Linked DNA regions of Callithrix jacchus. The protein of the gene in region 2 interacts with the protein of the main gene of each other region in a pairwise test. Links are inferred from orthologs where the notes say so. Each region holds a gene or a part of one and is shown on either strand. Other genes may lie near its edges.

Region 1 (3,823 bases), on a different chromosome or scaffold from region 2:
GGTAGCTAACACTTGTAATCCCAGCTATTCAGGTGACTGAGGCAGTAGAATCACTTAAACTGGGAGGTGGAGGTTGTGGTGAGCCAAGATCACGCCATTGCACTCCAGCCTGGGCAAAAAGAGTGAAACTCTATCTCAAAAAAAAAAAAAAAAAGTGGGTGTACACACACACTTACATAAGGTGCTGTACCTACCCTCCTACCCATAACTGAGCAGTGGACAGGAGGATCTAAAAAACAAAGAAGGATGAGTCATTAAGGTATGGAGAGAGCCGGTAGTAAATATGCGCCCCTACAGCCAGGAGTGCTCATGCTGGGCTGGGTGTGTGAACTCCACGTGTGTCCCACAGGCTCCAAGGAGTCTGCAAGTCCTGTGACCAGGGGCAGCAAGGGATGCTGGCCATGGCTCAGAGGCTCCGGACGTGGTATTGGCACCAGCATCTGTGGTGTGAGTTATAACCAGTACGAAGGGAAGACAGGGCTGGGAAACAAAGGCCTCTCCCTGAGCCTGTTCAGGATCAATAAGAGGGCTCCTGTACTCCGAATCCCGCTTAAGGAGTGTTAGAAAGACCGCCCAGGCCCAGGGCCCTCCCCGTGTCTGCCTTGCAGCGGCCAATATTGCAGTGAATGAACTGGGAGCAAGGAACAGCAAGGTCTCTCCCTCACTCTTCAAACACTGCTTACTTGCCTCCACCCCCAGAAGGAGCTCTATCAGTTCAGGAGCCTCCACGCTCACACAGAAAGGATTCACAGGACGCCTGATCAAGACACTTTTGCTGCCCACCCCGGGGTGGGGATGGAGGCCGCCAAGGGTGGGATGACCATTCAGCCGAGCCTCTCCACCTCGTGCTTTCCCGCAGACATCGGGACTTCTGAAAACTAGGAGAGAGCAGCCAAAAGAATGGATGCTTGGCGCCCCAGAACAAGCCGTTTGGGTCCTGAGGGAAATCGGGGCACCCTCAGGCAGCCGTCTTCCCCACCCACCGCTCAGCGCCTGCGATCTGGCCGGAGCTGGCTGCAGCGTCCAGCCGGGCGGCGCAGGGAGAGCCGGCGCTAACCCGCCAGAGCCTCAGGATCGACTGCGCTCTCACACGCCCCCAGTTCCCAGCGACCCCCACCGAGAGTTGGAAACGACTTCAGCAAACTTGGGGAAGCAACTTTTCCCGAAGAGCTAGACACCTGAAAGAAGGAGAGCTGAACTAGGGGCAGGGGAAAGCGAAAGAGACGGGGAGGAAAAGCCACAGCCCGGGCGGGCAGGACTACGCGGCGGCAGGAGGCGGACCCGCCCCGCGGCGAAGGGGAAGCACAAAAGCCCCGCAGCGAGTTGTGGGAGGAAAGGCGAGAAGGGGTCTGCCGGCCCTCCCTCTCCGACCCAAGGCCGTGACCCCCAGGAGGGACCGGCTGGGTCCCGGGCCTCGGGCCAACAGCGCTAGCGGCCGGCGCGCCCGGCCCAGGCTCGGTGCGAGCGGCTCGGGAGCCGGCGAGCGAGTCGGTGCGGAGCGCTCTGTGCGTCTCGGTGGGTCCGCGGGCCGGCGGGACCGTGCGCATTTCCAGCGCGTGCGGGAGTGTGCGAGGCGCTGTGCGAGCGAGCGGCGGGCGCGCCAGGGTGGGAAAGGCATCCCGAACGCATCAGGTGCAGAGCCTGGCACCCACCGAGAGCGGCCGGGAGCGCACGGCGAGCTCCGGCGTCACCGCCCGTCCCGCCGAGAGCCGAGGAGGGCCCGGAGCGCTGGAAACCCTCTGGAGCTTCCCTCCCTCCCCTGCAAAAGGGGGATCAAGTCTAATCAAGAAAAAGCCCACCACGTTTTTTCAAAGAGAAACAAAACGTAAGCCGTCCCAGTCCTGCTCTCCTCCGCCCCCGCATCTACTCGTCAGCTTCTCCAATTCTAGCTTCCCAGCCGGCCGGCGAATAAACACACAAATAAATAAACCACAACCTTATCTCGCGCCCGCGCACCGGTCGGCAAACATAAGAGCACCCACGGGCTCTGCTCCTCTGCCCGCCCCTGGCAGTACAAAGCCTCCAGATCCCCGACCCTCTGCTCACGCCCTCAGCCCCCGCAGACCGCTACGCCCCCCACCTCTCACCCCGACCGTGCCCCGGAGAGGAAGGGCTGCGGAGGCAGCTGCGCCCAGGCTGACAGCCGGGGCTCCCCCTTCCAGCCGATCCCCAACCGGTGGTGGCGACGGCTGCAGCGGCAGTAAGGGAACACGCCAAATAAAAAAGGCACAAGCCCAGCGGCCGAGTGGCCGAAGCGAGCGCGCGCCCCCCAGACCTCTCCAGCCCCGGGGGGGCTCGGCGCGCGGCGTTCGCTGGGCGGTGCGCCTCTCCCCGGCCCCTCACTCACCGCAGCCGAGCCGGGCACTGTGGGGTGGGTGTGCGTGCCTGTCGGGGGGTGTGTGCCTGTGTCGGGGAGGGGTGTTGCTGGGGAACTGTTGCTCTCCGTATCACGGCGGCAGCGACGGCATCGCCCGGCAGTTCGCAGTACCCGCTCTCATCGCCCTCAACTCCTCTCTGCTGCGAGGTTAGCAAATCACCACCGGCTGCTGCGCCTCCGCCGCGTCCCACGTCAACGCCGAGCCCCCTCCCCTGCAAGGCCCCGGCGCCTCTCCATCTTTAGTGCTGGCGGCCGAGCCCGGCTCCCTGCCCACAGCTGCCCCCCTTCCCTCCCCCCTCCCGCGCCGTCCCCGGGCTCAGCCCGCCCACCACCCCGCACTGGCCAAGCCCGCGCGCGCTCCCCGCCCCACCCCTCCTTTCCCCTCCCCTCCCTTCCCCGCGCTCCGCGCTCCGGGCTTCGCCTGACATCTAGCTGCTGCTGGGGCGCCGGCGGCCGCCGCTCACCGGCCGAGGAGAGAGAAAGCAGGGAGCTAGAGGACAGGAGTGCAGGGAACTCGGAACCCTTAATGGGGGCACCGAGGGTGAAGGGCGCGCAGCAGCCCCCACCTACTCCCAGGATTTTAATTTCTATCGGATACGGGTTTGTGCCCCCTCCCCCGCACTCCGATGCTCAAGCACGCAGTTTTGTCCCCTTTTCCAATCTTTGCCCAATTCAGTGCGTGTCATCTCGCCTTTAACTTTCTTCCTCTTGGCTCGGGGCTGCGTTCCCAGGGGCCCCTGACATCAGTTTTAAAAGGCCGCTTTCCTAGCCCAAGCCTGGGCTTCCCATCCTTCTGGCTACTGCGCGCCTCCCGGCTTGAGCATCCGGATTTCAAGAAGTCTCCAGATGCAGAATTCGCGGGCCCTGGTGAACCTGGTGCCATAAGGTCCGCTGGGATCTACTGTCGAAGCGACACGCCCCTTTTTAGATGTCGCGGTTGCTGGAGGCCAAGGTCGAGTCCTGAGAAACTTTTATCTCTCCTAGTCTTGGACAACCTCTCAGCTCTGCCCCCCCCCCCCCCCCACACACACACACACACATACAGAGCAATCTGGGTGGAAACAGTTCTCTAGAACTGCCCCCAGCTCAGCACACAGTCTTCAGGGGGCAGGGGAAAGCTTGGAAAAGCTCTGGGCCCCTCAGAAGCGCGTCCTCCTCTCAGCTGGCCGCCCTACTTTAGAGGGTAGAGCAGCCAAAGAAAATGTACCTTTCCTTCCTCTGCTCATGTGAAGGTAAAAAAAGGGGAAAAAATTTTTTGGAAAATAAAAAAAGAAAATGTACCCTTCCTCTGACCGCAGAAAGCTGCTGTCCCCGCTTTTCTCTGGAGCTGAGTGAAGATAGGGGGCCAGAGGCACTGGCTGTGGATTCTGACTGAAGCCTAGGAGGTTGGGGTGGGAGGTGGGGGTGGCCGAGAACACCATGCAGGGGTCTCAGGCTAGTCAGCCC
Region 2 (3,600 bases):
GTTTCTCAGCCTGATTTTTATAGCCGGTGGATTGGAATTAGGAGTGGCATAAAACCTCCAAGGAAAGCCATTTGTGGAGTTATTCACCTTCTCCACAAAGGCAGGGGCAGGAGAAGAGTTTGATTTCTTCGTCTGGCACTGGCCAGGGGTATTTCACATCTTAATTCAGAGACACACTGGAATGATCAGGCTGAGCAGTAATAATGCCTTGAGCAGTTTTAGTCTAGCTTAAGCAACATCTGCCCTAGTTCTATTCACAAACATCAACAGATCATCTGTCAGTGTAACTATGTCACTCTTGGAGTCCTTCAACGGAGTTGCCACTTTCCTTACCTCTTCATGGGTTTTCTTAAGGCAAAGAAGATCTTCCTTCAGAGACTCCACATGGGCCTCCAGGTCGGATTTGCACAAGGTCAGCTCATCCAGGATTCCATGCAGGCCGCTGATGTCAGCCTGTAACAGCTGGCGAAGGGACAGTTCACTGTCGTACCTTTCACAGCAAAAGAGAAATCCAACACTTATTCTGTTGAATGCTGTGCAAAGTGTGAGGATACATGGAGGATCGACATATGAATTTCAGGAAGCCACATGCAGAATTTCTCTTAATTCCTGAGTAATGATAAATTCAAGCTTTTAAGACATTCTTAACTTTAAGATATTATATAGAGAATATTTGTGTGTGTGTGTGAGAGAGAGAGAGAGTGTGTGTGTGTTTGTGTGTGTGTGTGTGTGTGTGTGTGTGTGAGAGAGAGAGAGAGAGAGAGAGAGAGAGAGCGCCATAAATTATTTTCAAAATAAAATTAAGCCTGGGTGTGGTGGCTCATGCCTGTAATCCCAGCACTTTGGGAGGCCAAGGCAGGCAGATCACCTAAGGTCAGGAGTTTGAGACCATTCTGGCCAGCATGGTGAAACCTCTTCTCTACTAAAAATACAAAAATTAGCTGGGCATGGCAGCACATGCCTGTCTGTAATCGCAGCTACCTGGGAGACTGAGGCAGGAGACTCGCTCAAACGCAGGAGGCGGAGGTTGCAGTGAACCATGATAGTGCCACTGCACTCCAGCCTGAGCAACGAGGGAAACTCCACCTCAAAATAAATAAATTAAATAAAATTCAACTCACTTTGACTTAAAATCCTCAGTGGCCAGTTTGCAGTTGTCAAGCTGTACAGCAAGTCTAGAATTCTCTGCCTTCGTGCATAAGATCTGTGAAGAAAGTCCTTATTTAATAAAGTATTCTTTGAGAGAAACCTAAATAAACTACTATCCAACAGCTATGCCATTAGTTATCCTTTGAAAGTCTTTATAAGAAAGTGTAAAATGGCCGTTAGCTGCTTTCCGTATTCACCGTGTCACTTGATGAAGCAAACAAGCAGTGCCAATTCAGAAACAAAATAGAGACATAAAAAGGTTCACTTTTTCTCATAACATAAGACATTTTGCACTATTCCTAGGCAGTGGAACGCCATTAACGTTTTTCTCCATCAGTAGTTTGTATTATGACTATACCCTCTCCCATAATGGAAATTCATCAGGGAGAGAAGAAAATGACTAGGTGGTTAAAAAGATGGCATTTCATGATCTGTGTTCAGATAATATAAATGTTCAGTGTCACATACAAAAGCGATTTTGGATATAACACAGTCTTTTTGCATTCTATAGATGACGAAGGAAAAGTCCACAGACAAGTTACTTTGTTATAGTTACTCAGTAATCAGGGGTAGCTTTAGGGGTGGGACTGAGGTTTCCCGACTTCCAGCACAGTGCTCTTCCCTATGTACCATTAACTTGTAGAACTCTCCTTTCTCTTGGTTTCCTTCTGTAAAACAGCACCTTCTAGTAGAAAGATAAAGCAAACCATAGATCGAGAAGCTGGAGCACTAGGGCAACAGGACATGCACCTTTTGTTGGAGATCTTCAATGGTGTTGAAGTAACACTGATAATCGGGACATGCCAGTGGGATATCCTGTTCACATTGCTCTTGGATCCTGGATTCCAGCTCTGCATTGGTCTCCTCCAGGCTGCGCACCTTCTCCAGATAGTTGGCGAGTCTGTCATTCAGGAACTGCATCGTCTCCTTCTCATTGCTAGTGAACACTCCATCCTCACACCAGGCACAGTTCCCCACCAAGCAGGGACTACTACAACTCCCAGTAAAGTAGCATGGCAGGAGGCAACCGGTCAGCCCGAGAGACCTGGAAAGGGAGCTAGGGGTCTGACATCGGGATGCAGCACAGGAACCGGGGAGACAAGCTGTCTCCATGGAACAGCTTGAGGCAGGTGCACAACAGGAAGCCCTGGTACAGGACTCAGGAGAGCAGAGCGTGGAGGAGCAGTCAGAAGACATCCTTCTAGAAGCAAAGACAGAGACTGGCTGCAAAACACCAGTTGCCTTGACTCCAAAACACTCCTTCCCTCCTGAGAGTTTTATATAGCGCCCCCTCAAAATGGGTGTTTACAGACTGCACCGGATGTTTTCGTCATCATTGATGGTGCCGGTTTTTATACAAACATCTCATTAGAGTTGTTTATTTACTGAAGAAGAGTTGTATGCCTCATAAAAGGGGGATAACTTTAGGTTACCAAAGCAGGGCCCACACCATTTCCATGTGCAAGACAAAACACTTATTTCAGAAAATCATCATAGGAAGCATTGTCTTTTTGACAGAATAAGAAAAGAAAGAGAACATTTGGCCAATCAATAATTATAGATACAACTCATTACAAATCAGGAAATTAATATTCCCACAGATTTTGATTCTGTGCATTGATTGCTTGTGTCTTCTTTAAAATTAGTATTACGGCTCATAAAAGGACATTCATTTGTTTGTCCACCACTATAAAAATGGTCAGTGTGGTTAGCAATCTTCCAGTGCTTTTTGTGATCTTAGAGCATGTGCTGACAGGACTGGAGAAGTGAGGTATATACTGGGTTTAAAGAGTGTGAGTGTGTGTGTGTGTGTACAAACCATGTCTACCTGCATACAAATGGAAAAGTCTCTTTACACAACTGATAGGAATAACTTGTTTCCTGTAAGTTAAAATATATATTGGTTAGAGCTGGAATTATGATCTTTGACTTCCTGAAACTTGCCTTCTCCACACTTCTTATTTTTAGATAAGTCATACAATTTTACCTGTATTCCTAATAAGAGTGAAATATAAATTTTCTAAGTTATAATCTTTTAGTCCCTTGGGAATTCCTCAGTGATTATACTTCAGAAAAGAGGGAGGAACCCACAGGAGTCTTTGCTTCTGAGATGTATAAACATACTGGAACTTGGGAAATAAAATTCTATTCAGGTTCCAAATGACTAATTCCACTGGTTGAAATCTCTGATGCCAAATCTGACAGATAGGAGCTTGAGATGTGTGACTTTTTTGGATTCTCTCTTGAATTTCACCTCCGTTATGAAGTACAATCTATTTCACTTTGCTTAGCGTTAGTCATGACATGTATTTCATTTTCAAAGGTGCACAGAGAAAATTGCCTCTAGAATTTTTAAGAACATTATAGGAAAAAAACACATTAATCTGAAAAAGTTAAAAAATTTATGATCCAAAATAAACTTATTTCTTCTCCTAATCTTGAGTGCTGCTT
Region 3 (3,075 bases), on a different chromosome or scaffold from region 2:
CGGCCTGAGCCCTGGGGAACAGAGACTGTGGGTCCCAGGTGTGGCCAGAGTTGAGATCGTGTCCGTGACTGCTCAGGGCAGGACCAGGCACTGGGGATGCCCAGGCTGTGACCTCTTGTTCCTCAAGGAAGGGAGAGGGTGAAGGTCATTGCCAGGATGCAGGTTCCAGCCAGAGCCAGAGCTGCCCTCTGCTCACCCTCAGGGCATGCTTCTTGGTTTCTTCCTTTTGTCACCTCTCTCTGTTCATGGTTCTCACCTTGACACACTCTTCACATGCTGTCCTGAACCTCGACGCATGGCCCCTGGTCCCCGGCAGCCCTCACCTGCCGGAGTCATCACACACACTCCCTCCCTCTTCCTTCCCATGGCCAGTCTGTCTCATTCACCAGCCTTGGAGGAAAGTGCATTGGGGGAGCTGGGGTGCTGGGCCCCTGCAGATGACACAGGTGACATTGCAGGGGCTTGATGACTGGGGCTGGTGGCTTGGTGAGCTCAGCTCTGGGTGCCTGGGTGTCCTCTTGGGGCTGCTGGGCACTCCAGCATAGGGTCTCACGCTCCCCTCCCTGGACTGGGGTGACTGGTCAGTCTCTGCTCATAGCCGCTAGGGCCAGAGCTGTTGGCCAAGCCGGGGGCAGGGCCTGGGCCTGAGCACCTCCCCGTCTGCTCCCCAGGGTGGCAAGGAGTACCTGATGCGGGCCCACTTCGGCCTGCCCAGCGTGGAAGCAGAGGACAAGGAGGGCAAACCCCCAATCAGTGTCAAGTTCGAGATCCCTTACTTCACTACCTCTGGCATCCAGGTACGTACGGCCCAGGTGAGGCCGCAGGCAACAGACATCAGTGCAGCCAGCACGGAAAAAGGGGTCAGGCAGCTGCAGCCACGACCCCATGGTGCTGCGGGGCTCCACCTCCCCACAGGCAGTGGGACTCCAGATGAGGAGAGGCGAGGCTGCCTCTGCTTAGCCCTGATCTCAAAGCCCAGAGACTCATTCTGCCCAAAAACTAGCATTTGAGGCTCTGCTGTCCATACTGATGCATCATGGGACGTCTTCCCTGGCACCCCCTCAAAAGCCCATGGTGGGAGAGGCTTAAGGAGAGCCAAGGGCCTTCTGGCTGGGCCCCCAGCAGGCTGCTGAGGCTGAGTCTGCAAGGCTCACTATGGTCGTCACCGCTTCCAGAGGCGGCTCTGCCCTCCCACGCCTCTGCATGGTCCAGACACAAATCCCCTTCACCCCCGAGGTCTGTGCTTGTCCACTCATCACAGCCTCCCCTGCCAGTCCTGGGCTGCTCCAGCAGGAATGGTTATGGGGGGACCAACAGGGATGGGAGCCTGCGGTGCTCAGGGCCCTGTAACCTGTGCCCCAGGTGCGCTACCTGAAGATCATTGAGAAGAGCGGGTACCAGGCCTTGCCTTGGGTGCGTTACATCACACAGAACGGAGGTGAGTGCGGCCCCACCGTGGGGTAGGGTTGTGCTGAGGGGTCCTCTGTGGCTGCCCCCAGGGTGGAGCGGTCAGCTCAGGTCCTGAAAGCCTTGTCGGGTGCCCACACTCCTGGGTGCAGAGTCCAACATGAGGCCTCCCCTTCTGTCTCCTAGATTACCAGCTCCGGACCCAGTGAGGGGCTGTCGCTGCCAATGCCCTGGGCCCAGCACCAGGGGACACACCTGCCAAGCCCGCCGGAGAGAGGGGCCCTCCCTGGACTCGGGCCAGCCTCCCAGCCTCTGCCCAGGGACCCCTGCCTTCCCCAGGCCACCTGCTCTGCCATCAACACTCATCTCAGAAGCCCCTTTTCCTGAAGAGGCTGGTCTTCAAGAAATCTCGTCTCTTTGTCCCTGAAGTCAGTTTCAGGGGAAGGAGATGAGATGAAAACTTTGCCTCTAGAGGTTACAGCCTTTTATGCTGTTGAGCTCCCAGGTACTAAGAAGCTTGGCCAATGCTTGCCAGACAGACAGTCAGCTGCAAGTGGTATCTGCCACCAAGGAAGCACCAGCCTCACCAGGCCAGCCGGTGCGTCGTCTTGTTGCCATTTTGTTGAACGTGATGGGTTTATGGGTGTTCCTGGAACTTGTCTTTGTGCATTCGTTGCTGTTTGTGTTGCCCTCACCATCCCCATGTCCCACCCACATCCCACGGCACTCAGGCAGCACTTAGTGAGGACGAGCCCTCACCCTCGTCTTCCTCCCTGGCAGTGCTTGCAGGGGGCCGTTTACACATCGGTGCCGGGACCTGGTGCTCTCGGGGGCCACTGCAGCATCTGCCTGCTCCCTGGAGGCCCCTGTTCTGGACTCACAGGCCTCACCTGTGGCACCTTCTCAGGGCCAGCCTGGGTCACAAGACGCTGTCACTCAGCCAGACCAGTATTTACCCAGCAGGGGAGGTGGGATTCGGCGAGAAACGCCAGCCTCAGACTTCTTCCCACTGAGGGTCCAGAGAGCGGGGCCATGTGTCACCCACGTCTGCGCTTGGTCACCGCCCTCCCCACCCTATGTGTGTTCATGTCATAGTTACATTAAATTCCATTCATTGAATACTCTGCGGTCTTCCTCGGTTGCGGCGTGGTCTCGACGACTCCTACATGACCACGGGCAGCTGCAGCACTTGCCTGGTTTCATCATGACGTTCCTGTGGCCTCACAAGGTGCCACCAGCTTCTGCTTCTCGAGCTAAAACAGGAAAAGCAGCTGCTGGATGAGACAGCTGCAGCGCTGGACCATGGGCCACCACTTCTGTGCCACACAGAGGAGACCACAGAGGCAGGTTCTCTCCTCCGACCTGCTCTACCCTCAGATGGCCAACAGCTGGTCCCCGCCTCTCCCCAGCCTCTCCGAGCACGGTCCTTGTGTCAGCAGCATCCCTGTGTGCTCACTAGAAATGCAGGTTCTTGGGCCAACCCTGACCTGCCAAAGCCGAGGCTCTGGGGCCAGGGTCCCGGAAACCATTAACAAGGGCCCCAGGTACTTTTTCTGTGAACTGCTACCTGGTCCATGGGGGAAACAGCACGTAGATAAGACATACTCCCGGCTATCCTGCCCCCAGTGCTCATGGCCCTGCCTGGCCAGCACCCTCTTGCCTTGGTTC

What was found.
Region 1: the proteins of KRT40 (region 2) and ZBTB16 interact in binary tests that used the Homo sapiens proteins (3 or more experiments, as listed by UniProt). The two-hybrid records come from large-scale screens. The link is inferred for Callithrix jacchus from reciprocal best matches to the Homo sapiens genes KRT40 and ZBTB16.
Region 3: the proteins of KRT40 (region 2) and AP1M1 interact in binary tests that used the Homo sapiens proteins (3 or more experiments, as listed by UniProt). The two-hybrid records come from large-scale screens. The link is inferred for Callithrix jacchus from reciprocal best matches to the Homo sapiens genes KRT40 and AP1M1.

The regions. Positions count from the first base shown.
Region 1 is NC_133511.1:13,736,609-13,740,431, reverse strand, and holds the start of ZBTB16 (zinc finger and BTB domain-containing protein 16), read right to left. Parts: upstream 2,517-3,823; 5' UTR 2,348-2,516; intron 1-2,347. UniProt on the Homo sapiens protein: Acts as a transcriptional repressor. Transcriptional repression may be mediated through recruitment of histone deacetylases to target promoters. May play a role in myeloid maturation and in the development and/or maintenance of other differentiated tissues.
Region 2 is NC_133506.1:92,276,163-92,279,762, reverse strand, and holds the start of KRT40 (keratin, type I cytoskeletal 40), read right to left. Parts: upstream 2,388-3,600; 5' UTR 2,347-2,387; coding exon 1,900-2,346; exon of another isoform or gene 1,205-1,899; coding exon 1,122-1,204; exon of another isoform or gene 491-1,121; coding exon 334-490; intron 1-333. UniProt on the Homo sapiens protein: May play a role in late hair differentiation.
Region 3 is NC_133523.1:14,851,473-14,854,547, forward strand, and holds the end of AP1M1 (AP-1 complex subunit mu-1), read left to right. Parts: intron 1-671; coding exon 672-797; intron 798-1,362; coding exon 1,363-1,438; intron 1,439-1,593; coding exon 1,594-1,616; 3' UTR 1,617-2,526; downstream 2,527-3,075. UniProt on the Homo sapiens protein: Subunit of clathrin-associated adaptor protein complex 1 that plays a role in protein sorting in the trans-Golgi network (TGN) and endosomes.